Caenorhabditis elegans: one gene and its partner. The protein of the gene in region 2 purifies or fractionates together with the protein of the main gene of each other region. This does not show direct contact. Each region holds a gene or a part of one and is shown on either strand. Other genes may lie near its edges.

What was found. The genes of interacting proteins can lie anywhere in the genome.
Region 1: the proteins of ego-1 (region 2) and znfx-1 purify together in Caenorhabditis elegans (affinity purification with western blotting, with the first as the bait; one study listed by BioGRID). This does not show direct contact.

The regions. Positions count from the first base shown.
Region 1 is NC_003280.10:9,211,867-9,216,745, reverse strand, and holds the start of znfx-1 (NFX1-type zinc finger-containing protein 1 homolog), read right to left. Parts: upstream 3,045-4,879; coding exon 2,878-3,044; intron 2,831-2,877; coding exon 2,625-2,830; intron 2,576-2,624; coding exon 2,461-2,575; intron 2,417-2,460; coding exon 2,330-2,416; intron 2,280-2,329; coding exon 2,184-2,279; intron 1,534-2,183; coding exon 1,095-1,533; intron 984-1,094; coding exon 663-983; intron 617-662; coding exon 1-616. Other genes in the region: ZK1067.4 (Transmembrane protein 151 homolog), read right to left, coding at 3,722-3,904, 3,948-4,343, 4,425-4,575. UniProt on the Caenorhabditis elegans protein: Epigenetic inheritance factor which, in association with the Argonaute protein wago-4, mediates small RNA-directed transgenerational epigenetic inheritance and thus balances the transgenerational inheritance of epigenetic information.
Region 2 is NC_003279.8:7,650,325-7,658,207, forward strand, and holds ego-1 (RNA-directed RNA polymerase), read right to left. Parts: upstream 6,015-7,883; 5' UTR 5,949-6,014; coding exon 5,841-5,948; intron 5,798-5,840; coding exon 5,633-5,797; intron 5,589-5,632; coding exon 5,214-5,588; intron 5,165-5,213; coding exon 5,024-5,164; intron 4,946-5,023; coding exon 4,811-4,945; intron 4,766-4,810; coding exon 3,584-4,765; intron 3,540-3,583; coding exon 3,162-3,539; intron 3,114-3,161; coding exon 3,002-3,113; intron 2,954-3,001; coding exon 2,511-2,953; intron 2,444-2,510; coding exon 1,970-2,443; intron 1,925-1,969; coding exon 1,745-1,924; intron 1,697-1,744; coding exon 1,558-1,696; intron 1,511-1,557; coding exon 981-1,510; intron 932-980; coding exon 562-931; intron 510-561; coding exon 343-509; 3' UTR 17-342; downstream 1-16. Other genes in the region: F26A3.4 (Protein-tyrosine-phosphatase), read right to left, coding at 6,908-7,030, 7,085-7,192, 7,293-7,392, 7,606-7,883.

The DNA of each region.
Region 1 (4,879 bases), on a different chromosome or scaffold from region 2:
CGCAATATTTGCGTTTTTCTTCACAATTTTGAGGCGAAACGAATTTATCATCTCGTGAGTGCTCACTGACGGTGCCACCGCCGTTGTGAAACCCCAAGTGATTTTCCATAGATGTTGATTCGTTGTACTGATATTGATCTCTTCTATCATCTGCTCGTCGAGACTGTCTCGAGTCATCGCGATATCTTGATGATTCATCCTCATGTCGTTGTTGTTGTTGCTCATCGAGCCTTCTGTGAACTTCTCCAAAATTGTCCGGGCTTTTATGGCGACGGTTTTCTGTCCGGTAGTTATCACGATGTCCGAACTCGTCTCTGCGTCTGTGATCGACGAAATCCACCTCGTCATGACCATAAACATTGCTGGAACCTGCACCTCGACTTTCAGATAAAACTTGGCGTCCACTGTCAGAAGAACCAGCTTTTTCGTACACTGAATATGACCGCAGCGCCAATGGACTGGGGTTTCGTTCCCGTTCTGCCCGTTTGATCCATGTTTCAATGTAACCAATCAGCCTCCTAAGATTTCTAAGCTCATCATCACCCACACCAGCTTCCTCAAGTCCATCCATGTCAGCAATATCGAAAGCCATCGAGAAATCATGCCAAGACGGCGCCTATAATAATGTTTACTTTTAAAATTTTCAGTTTATTTCAACTTACAAATCTCGGAAGTGTCAGCATGAATCCACCCTTGTATCGAGCCGTTGTGAAAAACAAATGAAAGATTTCGAATAGCAATTCTGTACCCTCGGGAGTCCACGTGTCATTGTCAAACGAGCTTTCCAGGAATTTACTTTTGAGCTTCAGTAGAAAATCCTTTTCGAACAATCCGCGAATAATTGCTTTACTGTGATCCCGAACAATACTTTTTCGAGAACTGATAGCATAATTGACAACGTAGAGAAGTTCTAGATTGTGAGCTAGTTTTACAAACGGACGTTCGAACCGTACGTATAGTTTTGATCCGTTGATGAGCTTGGACTGAAAATTAAAATTTTAATATTAATTTCGTGTTTATTGAAGATTAGTTTTCCGGAAATTGCCGAAATAACTCACAGGTTGCAGTTTATCACAAAAATGAATAGATCTTACCAACTCAGAATCGTTCTTTTGCGGAACTCCTCTAACAAGGATTTTGGTTTCACACACGTTCCGCGCAGCATGTACATCTTCAGACGATAGAATATGATCTCCTTCTTCTTCCTGAACTTCTTCATCGCGGAATCGACGCCTCGAAGATGAACTATTCTCGCTCATTCTCGAAATGGTACTATGAGCTTGCTCGAATTGATCATTCTGATGATTTTGAAGAGATATTCCTGGTGGAGTTGGAAGAGATATTCCAGGTGGTGCTGGAATTGACAATCCGGGTGGTTGAGGGGTGGAATAACGGGATTCGCGTGTATCTGCTCGGGGAATTGGCGAAACTGAAGATAATCCAGGAGGCGAACTGTTTGAAATCGAAATTCCAGGCGGCGGGAGCCCTGGGGGGGCGAGGTTTCTGACCATTGAATACGGTTGGCGAATTGGTCTGAAACAAGATAATTTAATTATACATTATGAGAGAACGCGGAGAGCTCTAGCATTTTAAGAAAAAGTATTTTCTAACGAAATCAGTATGCCCACAAAAATCCGCGTTTACTACAGTGAAAAGGAACGCGGCCAGGTTTCTGGGGAAAGATGGGAACACGATAAATGTGGTTTTTTTTCCGCTACCACGATTCACGTTGTTTATGAAACGAGAATAAAAACAAAAGCCACTGCGATTATCAATGATTTAACAAAGGTCACCAATTCTATTATATATTTTTAAAAGCAATATCAGGAATTCAGGAAAAATTATTGATGTTATTGAGAAAAACAATCGAAAATTTTGAAATAATTATTCGTTAAATCCTGCGAGTCAAGGGAATATTTCAGTATTTCCAAACACACTGTTTAACAAATTCTGATGTGAAAACATGCTTATTCAGATTATTTTTTTCGAATTTGTGAAAAAAAAGCATATCAATCACAGGGGAAGCAACTAGTCACGGTTTTTCTGTTTTTCTCTACGTCTCGAACTGTCTATCTATGTTGGACGTGTGGAAAAAGAAAGAAATAGCTAGGCCATAAGTCTAATATGAACGAAGAGATATTGCAAAATTTTTGAATAGAAAGTTTACAACATGGTAACGATACCTTGTTTCGCGTTGATCTTGTGCGATCTGCTTGTGAGGGGCGTCTTCAACAAAGTCTTCGGTCGATACAATCGAACTCTTTCCAAAGATGAATTCTCTATGAAAGTTAGATGTTTTTTAATTATTTTTTCCTTCTAGATAGCCTACTCTGTTTCTACCTCCATGGGCATCGCGATGGATTCCGTCAGATTTTCCACTCCTTTGATGAACTGTGCAAATTTAGAGCAGTCACTTCTGAAATATGAATTTTTTCGACGTTATGCTGAACATTTACTCACTCCAGTTCTTCATACTCCATTTCGTTGATCCAGTTGAGAATTTCGTTGCGTTTCATATGGAAGATATAACAAGACTCCCTAAACATATCCAGCATGTTTTGGACTTCGTCTTCGTCTGTATGAGTGAATATTTATACACGTTATGTATAATTTACTTTTCTTACCGCACTGGTCTAAAATGAAAAAAACAACCGGAGTCGACAGCGGTCCTTTTTCATAGATCGTTTCACACTTCTGCAGACCTTCCTCGATGAGCTTTTTCAGAAGAAGATAATCTTCCCTGACTTCTTGATATTGCAGGAATTCCCGTTCATCATCGAGAAGAATACCTACTTCTATCATCGAAGTGTGACACCTTTTCACGAATTTCCTGAAACAATACGTTTTTTCAATAATTTTTGAATAATTTGAACGTACATGAAGTGCTCTGATGAGAACTCGCTTGTCGGATAGCCGATTCTGAAGCACATCCACGGACGCCGGCGCTGTCCGCGGAACGGGTCTTCGTCGAACTTCAACGAACCCATTTCGTAGGGCAACCGACGTCCGCCAACCTCACGTTGAGGTGGTTTATCTCTGGACATTAGCTTGTCAGATAGATGGATTGGTTGGTTTGAAGTATTTATCTGTAAAAGAAATAATTACATCAAATAAAATGGCCATATTCAAGATTTTGCGAGAGTATTGGAGTTTTTTGTTAAATTTTCAAGCAAGACTTTGTATTTCGTGAAAAATGTGATTAGTGAAGCATTGCCTCACGGAATCAGAACGAAATTAAAACTGGTAACGGAGTTTTTTGGCCTAAAAACCGAAACCGTCAAATCCTAAAATTTTAAACAAAGAAACATGTGAATTTCTTGAAGATTTCATCAAAAATACTTCTGTAATAGTGAAAATGCGTTGCCCAGTGATTTTTAATACAAATTTTGAAGAGAAAAATGGAGTTTTAACATCAAAAATACGAAAACTGAACAGATAAATAACTGAATAAAAAAAAATTTCCGCGCCAATACTTCCAAGGGTACTGTAGTTTTTTATATTTCGTGCCGAGACCATCTCCTCGTATTCAGTGGACGCTCCTTTAAAAATTGATTGCTTTTTACCATTTAATAAGGCAATAAAAACAACGCTTTTAATCGAATAACTTGAAACACAATTTTTTTAAACTTGAAAATAAAAAAAAATCAGAAAAATTATTTATTTCAAGCACCAACGTTTAACAATTCTTAAAATTGGTCCGCATGTGAAAAAATACCCGATTTTATGGATGTTCTGGATCATCGTTATTATTGTTGTTTGAATTATTGTTATTATTGTTACTAGAACTACTTTTCAAAGTTAGCGACTTCAAATCCTTCGAGCTCGAGTGAGAAATTGAAGCCAATCGTGAAGATATTGATCGTCGTAGGCGTTCATATAATGGAGCACACATTCTGAGAGCAACCTGAGAAATAAATTGTCATTTCCATTATAAATTGAAAACCGACCTCATATGGTGGAGGTGGTTCATCTGGTTCAATGAGTAGTTGTGAATCATCAGGATTTCCAATTTCTCTGTAACCATTGGACCAAGCAGAAATACCACCTATCGATAACGAACGTAACGGCAAATTCCGCCGACTCGATGGAATAGCACGATTTGCTCTACTTCCGTTTTCTAAACAACTCAGATTCTCAGCTGATTCTTCGAGATTTCCTTGAGCAGCAAATGTCATACTTCGGCTAACTCTAAGAGGTCTCGGCGTTGCTGTAATGGGCTCAGATAGTGAATTGTCGGTTTCTGTTGCTCCATAGTTCCGAAGTACGATATGTTCGTTAGTTGTACTCACGAATGGTCGTGGAAGAATCACAGGGTCCAGGCATCGAATATTTGGATAATTGGTCTACAATATTATCAGAGCGATTAATAAATATTTATCAGGAGCAAATGATCTTAAAATTTTAATATTTAAAAAAAACCTTACATTTGAATTAGCAATCGTATTTTGCATGAGCATAACTTCACTGTACGATGGTACAACGAAATGTTGTTCTCTCCTCAACAATGCCTCCAACTCAACAGTATCCATAGTTGATGTTCTGGTTAATGGCCCCGTGTAGTTGACCGAATTCGGACTGGAAAATGTATTTGAAAAATAAATACTTATACTACTTTTCTATCTTTTTTTGCTGTAGCTAATCTTTTCTTCCTGCCAAATGCCTAATGATTGATGGAACTCAACGTTTTTGAGCCACATCCCTTTATTGAAGAAAATTCGAAAACACTATTTTTGTGGCTATTTTAGGCAACTTCTTGTAGAAATATAAATTTTATACACTTCGCATATGAAAATGCTCTATATGACTGACACTTTCTGTTCCCGCCAGGTCTTTTCTCTCAACAGAGGAAAACGGCGTGCAGTCGATAGCTCAGTTGGTA
Region 2 (7,883 bases):
CAATTTTTCAAGAAATCTGGCTATATTCTATCCAATAGGAAAATCATGTACGAAAAAACGCATATAACAAATAAAATACAAATATCGGATTCGTAATAAAACAGACAATTCATTGAAACAGATAACCGAAACGCTGAAAACGATGAAAAGAAGGAGAAACCTATCCATTTCAATCAATCAGCAAAAGAAACAACAGGAAAATATAATGAGAAAAAGAAACAGAAATAAGCATGCCAATTAAAACATGCAAAAAAAAAACAGAAAAATAAAATTTAAAATGAAAACCATATTAAACATTTAAAATCTCTGAAAACACTGCTAAAAACGAATAAGAGAAACATTCTAGATGTTGATGTGTCCTCTGACAATCTTTTCATAGCACAATCGAGCCATCTGTGTAGACACATCTTGTCCCGTTACGTACGTTTTGATGGGAACTTTTACAGCAACCAGTTGACGCAACTTGTACATTGACTCGAGAGTTCCACGTGTAGAAACCAGAAGACGCACTATAATAATTTGAAAATTAAATCTGTTTACCATTCGATTTTGTTAACTCACTATTGATTTTTTGCACATCATCCGAAGAGCGAACTGATTTCTCCATGTTTCGCATGAATATCTCTTTTACACCAGTATGCTCTACCAGCTTGCGATGAACCAATGAACGATCACAATTGGCTGGTAATTCAATCACGAACGGTTCGTTTTCTCGAATTATTGAACGAACTGTAGTTGTTGGATCAGTTGACACAGGAAGTTCTTCGAATCGTAAATTGAATAACACGTTGTAGTAGGTTTTGAGTGCGGCCAAATGGAAAATTTGCCATTCTCCTCGCATGAAAATTGATGAGAAATCAAGAGCACAGAATGAGAGATTCGCCATTTTTCGGAACTTTCGCGAGGCCAAAAATTCGAGAAACTTCACCATCTGAAAACAGTCATTATTATAAAAAAAATAACACAAATATTCTTCTCACCATCTGACTTTTTCCTTTTTCCTCAATATATAAACTGGGCTCAAAGTCTCCAATTGTTTTACTCTGCTTGTAACTTTTCTCATCGACCTTATTGAAGAACTTGGCAGCATTTCCATCAACGGAAGAAAATTGCCTTGTAGCAAACAGGATAAATAGCAGTGATAAATGATATTCTCGAAGTGATTGATTTTCAAATAGATTTGAAATCCGTGCCCATTCGTCTAACATGAATAAGACTGCATCCAATCCTGGATAAGTTTCTGTGTACATTTTGATGATTCTATGAGCTCGTTTCACTTGTTCTCCACTAGTTTTAGGTGTTGAAAATTGTCGAAAAGCTTCGAATTTTCTCGAGTTATCGACAAGATACTGAGATCTGTGGTCGTCAAGCATTGTGTACAATGGATTTGCTCCACCCATCTTAACTTCGTCACTTGTAAGACTTTTGTCTTGTTTCACTTTTGCGATGACGTCATATGCGAGCCAAGCGAACGACAATTTCTTGTTTTCTCGAGTTATTCGAGCTTCCTCTGAAATTAAAATAGTATTTATTTTTATTTCAAGTTATCCAACTAACCATAGCAAGCTCTGTACCAAGCTACGGCCTTTTTCATCATCTGCACTGTCGGAGCACGACATTGTCGTTGAAGAATATTACTATCACGTCCGTAACGAGAGAATGCTTCTGTGTTACCTTCCCAGCCGCCTTCGAATTCCTGAAATTACGCATGTACACATATGTAACTGGCTTAGGAAAGCTTTACTTCAAAAAATATCTCTCGGTATTTCTTGAACAAATTTGTCAATTTCGTCTCGATCATCTGGTTTGTGTTGAAGAATGACATATCATCTTGATCCTTATCCGAAATTCTGTTTCGCATGTCAACAATGCATCCTGAGAAGACTTCACCTTCTGTTTTGATTCCATAGTTTTCCATCATTGACTGAAAAAACATGGTCATCTTTCAACTATTTCTCCTAAAACTCACTCTCAACTGAGCATTATATCTTGCTAAATCGTTTTTTGCACTAGCCATATATTCCGTATATCCATCAATTTTGATAGTTTCATCTATAGAAATCTCCACTTGCTCGTCTCGTTCTTCCGAAATTTTGAGTACATCATCAATTGCTTTGAACTCGCGAAACAGTTTTCCACACAATCTTGGACTGACATACATTGGAGTATGGTCATTTCCCATGTGATAATCAGGTACTCTTTCAGCTCTTTCAGGTGGAATCATTTCGCCAGTTTCTTCATCTTTTCTCCATTTCCTTTCAAGTTCATCAGGTGGTTGTCCAGACTTAGTGAAGTCCACAGCTTGACAATTTTTCTTCGCCAAATCCATGCAAACTCTTGCGTTTAATCCATATTGGTCAGAATTGTGAAGATGACTATTCGAGATTTGTCCAACGGAATCCAATTTCAAGTACTTGACATAGAACTCACGCATCAAGTCATCCTGAAAATATTATTTATTGCGACTAGAATTAAATATATTTATGTAATCTCGTTAAAACGAAACTCACGATTTCATCTTCTTTAAAGCTCGCCTTCTGTTTCTCTGAAGTGAAATCATATGGATCTTCATTTTTGTCCAGAAGCAACTGTTGATCCCAAATGATAGAATATTCATCTCCATCCAAATCAGATCCAGCCATTTCATCAGGATGAGGCCTCGGTCCATGTTGTGGGAATACTACTACATCACACATGTGATGAAGTTCTGGAATATCGACAGCCTCGAAAATCCGAACATCTCCGGCAACAATGCATGGATTTTTGGTCAAGAGAACCGTTCCTGTAAGAACTTGTCGCGCAGCGTTTTTGGGTGGAAGTTTCAGGGCCAGATTTTTGGTATACTGTACGAAGATTTGACCATATTGAAGACGCCCAGTCTCGTCAACGACTCCAAGCATTGACCGTCCGAGATCACACGGAATGGGAATTTGTTCTTTTCGGAGTTGTCTGGCTGTAACAAATATGGTTTGTTTAAAAAGCTTCATTCGTTTAAACTTACTGATTGAGAACTTGATCGATGCTTTGATAAGAGATCGGAAAAATGGTTCGCTAGACAATGTGAATCCCCATGTTGTTCTCAAGTAGTCAATATCTACGCGACGAGGTAGCTCCTGAATAATAACAGTAATGAGGATACTATCAGTAATTTAATAACAAACCTTCAGTCGATTTCTGCAAAAAGTTTCATCCACCATTTGTTGGGCAAAAGAAAGCATTTGTCTGTCCAGTAACTCTTCGATTCGATTTGTTACTCTTCGATGACATTCCAAGGATTGCATTTCCGAAACTTGATCGAGAATATTGATGAATGGCTTGTTTAATGCCACTGGAACTGGCGATGAGTACTTGACGATTTCCACTTGATCACGTGGGTGTCTCTTTGAAATAAATTTAATTTGACTTGGGCGAAACATACAGTTCAAGCTCCACGAACTGTCATCGCTCGGTTTGCTGATATTATACGAAATTGACCACTGGCGAAGATTGTCAAGAAGAGGTTCGATTGAGATGACTCCTTTCATTCCACGGAAACGAAACTGAAAAAAACTATTAAGAAACACCAAAGAAAAGATTATGGTACCTGAAAGCAGCTGGGAACACCTTTTCCAAAATCCATAACTTCTGAGACCATTTGAGCAAATCGATAACTCATCATTCCAACTCCATCAGAAAACGTGTATTCATCTCCTTTCAAATTTTTTCCTCCAGTCAAATCGTACGTTGTCATATACGTGCATCTTTCCAAATTCACTCCTGACAATCTGCTTTGTGTAAAACACTGTCCAAGACGAGCCATCATTTTTGGAATGTTGTCAATAGTCTCGAATCGTCCCAAATTCTTTCGAGCAGCTTGGATCTTTGGATTGAAAGTGATTGGTGGTTTGATTTGATATATCCGTTCGTATTCTCTGCACTGTGATGATGAATATTTTTCCATGAAGTAAGCACCGTTATCTCTCATTTGTGAGTTCGAGCTTCCTAAATAGCCGAAATTACGACCAGCAACAGTAATTCCATTTTTGAGATATTGATTGACGGTTTTTTCAAGCATAGTCGAAGTTTTATTCGTTCGCATTTTCTGATTATCATCATCTCGGAAAGTGATTCTTAGAACTCTTGTTCCATCATGGTCGTATCGTCGCAGTACTCGATTTCCCATCAACGTCTCCGGTGCCACATAGATAACACGAGTCGGTGTGAAAATAATCTTTCGAACTCTTTGATATCCCTCTCTCATTTCTTCAGTTGTTAATCCATTAACCAGACTGTTTCTCTGTCTCGTTTGACAAATTCTATCGAAACACTTGATCAATGATCCAATTCGTTTTCTACCATCGATCATGTGAACCAAATCCTCAAGTCCGGCCTCACAAAGTTTGTCATCTTTCGTGTAGTAGTGGAGAATCACTTCAAGGAATCGGTGCCATATTCCTTCATCAAGCAAAATTTGATCCTTAACCACTGCTCCTCTCGAAATCAGACATTCCAGGAGATAAGTGATGGCGAATTTTCTTTCCCTGTTGGTGTCAACTTCTCGAGAGCCACATACTTCATGTTTCTTTGGAAATGCGGTCGTGATGAAATCTCTGTAAATAGGCGCAGAGAAATGAGTGGGCGACAGATGTTGATTATTTAGGAATGTCCAACGGTTATAAGGATTCTCTCTCCAAATGAGACAGTCAATCGAAGGAATGTCCGCGAATTCAATGGAAACTCCAGTACGGATGCGAAGTCTTGAAAGTAAGCGGTAGATTTCATTGAGCTGGAATAATTACACGTAAAAACTTGATGCATATTGAATTATTACCCCAACAGATTGATCAAACTCGATTGTGAACACAGGACTATCCGTTATTGCTTTAGCTGTTGGATACTGATTCGCGCTTCGTCCACGATTGATCACCAAATATCTTCGATAATGTGGGACGGAGTGCCGATTTTCCTGAAAATTGTAATTAACATCTTATTTCGATATTTCATAATCGCGAAATTTCATGGTTTACGGCTTGGGTGTGCTCACCGATTCCTGTTTTGCCGTTCGGTAGGCTCTTCTAATGAGAACAGGACAATTAAGTTCGAAATGTACACGAATCCGATCCGAACCATTACAATCTTGAACGACAGGATCAACAATAATCCGACGAATAGAAGTTCTCCTAACCTGAAAGTTTTTGTTATGATTTTTATTCCCAATTCTATTGAAAACATACTGTAATCTGGTAATACATGGTAACTGTTTGTTTGGTCCTCTTCGCATCTTTATCAGCAACCTCAAAATCATTTTCAAAGTGCTTGAAGTGAACTGTCATAAAATCAATTTTATCGAATTCGAACTCCACTTTGATTTGGTTCATTCCAATTTTATCGGCTTGTGTTGGTTCAGTATTCCTCGTTCTTGCCGACTTCCGACGTCTAACGTCATCCCAGAAAGACACTTCCCAATGATTAATGAATGTTCCGCCTTGAATATTTCCAAAGAAAACAGCGGCAAGCGGAATATCAACCAAATGACATGTCAATTCGGAAGACCAAAAATCGGAACTGTGAAGAACGAGATTTCCACGTTGGAATGGCATAAGATGATCCTGGAAAAGTACGAATACGATAGAAAGTTTCGACAGCAACAAACCGTTGATAAATCTTTTAAATATGTCTGGATCGCCGCAATTAGATCATGTGAAAACCTGCTGGTCGCAACTTCATAATTTGTTTCATAAAACGGCTCACAATCTTGCTCTTCGACAACCTGAACCTGTCCTTTTGTCAAAACCTTGATGTTGTATTCATTCAATGCCTAAAACAAAAAAAATGATTGATGAACACATTGTCTAACTTACTGGCTCTAATTTTGCTACATGGCATTTAACTATGGGTCCCATTTGCCGCTCTGGCAGAGAACAGGGAATTTCGAGTTTAATCCATCCACGATAACCTTCGTCCCCCATTGTTGCGAGGATTCGGGATAATTTTTGATATATCTTAGGCTAAAATCGTTTTGAGGTAGATGGTCTGTAAGAAAAATATTACAATTTCAACATTTTAGACCATGGTTACACGGATTTTAAATTTTTAGATAAAAAAAGAGATTTTCTGGTTAGAATTGCAGCGTTAAAAATATTCGATTTTTTAAAATTACGTTTCACTAGACTAAAGCATCATGAATCATATAAAATAAATGAGAAAACAGAAATATTTGGGCATTTGGGATGAAAATTGATTCAAATTCGAAAAACGTTTCTGGCGCGCTATCGTATCTGCCCTGTTCGTTGCGAGACTTGTAGTTCACAACGATTTAAGCTCCTTTGAAGGCAGCGGCATTTTGAAATCGAATTTCGAATTATTAACCTTCTTCTTCGCAGTTTTTAGCTATGAGCGAGAAACAAATAAGAAAAAAGTGGCACGCGTTATAGTTCAAAAATTTCGTTGTCGCGGTGAGACAAGGGCTGTTGTCTTTTGGGCTTTGGTTTTTTTGGCAAAAATGGGAGAAAAAACTTTCACAAGTTAATTTTTAGTCGGGACGAGGAATTCGATTTTTTTGTATTTTTATTAGTCCAAAGTCCGAATAGTTTTTAAATAATCTGCATCTCCAATTTTTCTAATGATTATTTTACGAGAACTTGTGTTTGAATGGAAATTCGCAACATGAAGATAAAATTAATAAATCTCAAAATTTATTTACATGGCACCGGAAACTACAGATTTCGACCCGTATTTCTGATATAATTGAGAGAGGAATAGAATAACATTTGAAAAGAAATTGAAATTGAACAACTAAAGCACTGACCCGTTTCAGGGAAAAAAAGTGGTAATTGCGCCTAATTGGTGTGCATGGTGGGAGGTGGAAAGGGAGGAAAACAGAAAAAAAACAAGAAAATATGATATGAAATATGGAAAATAATGATAATCAGCAAACAGCTTCAGCCATTTCCATCACAGGTTCAAGCACTGGACGGAATTTAGATTTGAATCCAGAATTTCGGCGTTCTCGTGGCTCATCTGGGATCATATTTGGATCTTGCTCCGGGCTCTGAAAATTAAAAGGGTCAATTTCTGTAGTTTGAAATATGATTTGTAAACTTACAGCTGGTCTAGCTGGAATTGCAATATTAAGATAAACATCGGGAAGTAATTGTTCTGGTTGAGCTTCATCTCTCACCAATCGAACAGAACCAGCATTTTCTTTGACGTTCTGTAAGATACAAATTATAAACTTTGGACCTAATGATAAGAAAATAAGAATGATCAAACTAGATTTTGAGTGTTTATGTCTTTAACTTTCAGTTACATACCTGTTCATAAGCAATAAGTTGGCGCCAGAAACCAAGATTTGGACGAACCATTGAACGCTTTGATTTCATCAAATGATAAGCTTCACGAAGATTTCGGCAACTGGAAATAGATCAAAAATCAATATGTGCATTCTATTTTAGTTCATGGGAAAACATCAGATTCATTAGTTTTTGTTTTCCGGCACGTGCTCTCTTCCCATTTATTGGATACTTATGATATCACATGAAAGCACATGTCCAATAGAATTTATAATAGGGGAAAGCACTGAGTTTCTGGACTATTTTTGGTTCTAACTAAAACAAGATGACATACCGATATTTGAGCAAGAAAGCCAAACAGATGGAAGCAGAACGTGACACTCCGGCGACACAGTGCACGAGAACTTTTCCCCCATCAGCAATGAGTGCTTGAATCTGATCAGATTGAAGTTCAAGATGTGGATAGATATATGTCTGTGGAGTATCTTCAAGCCAAAGTTTTGTACGTTGAATGTCTCCAAGACTTCTGAGATTTGGAACTTCTGTTGTTGCATTTATGATATGTGTGATCTTATGTTTCTTCATTTCATCTTTGCTCAACGCAGAAACTCC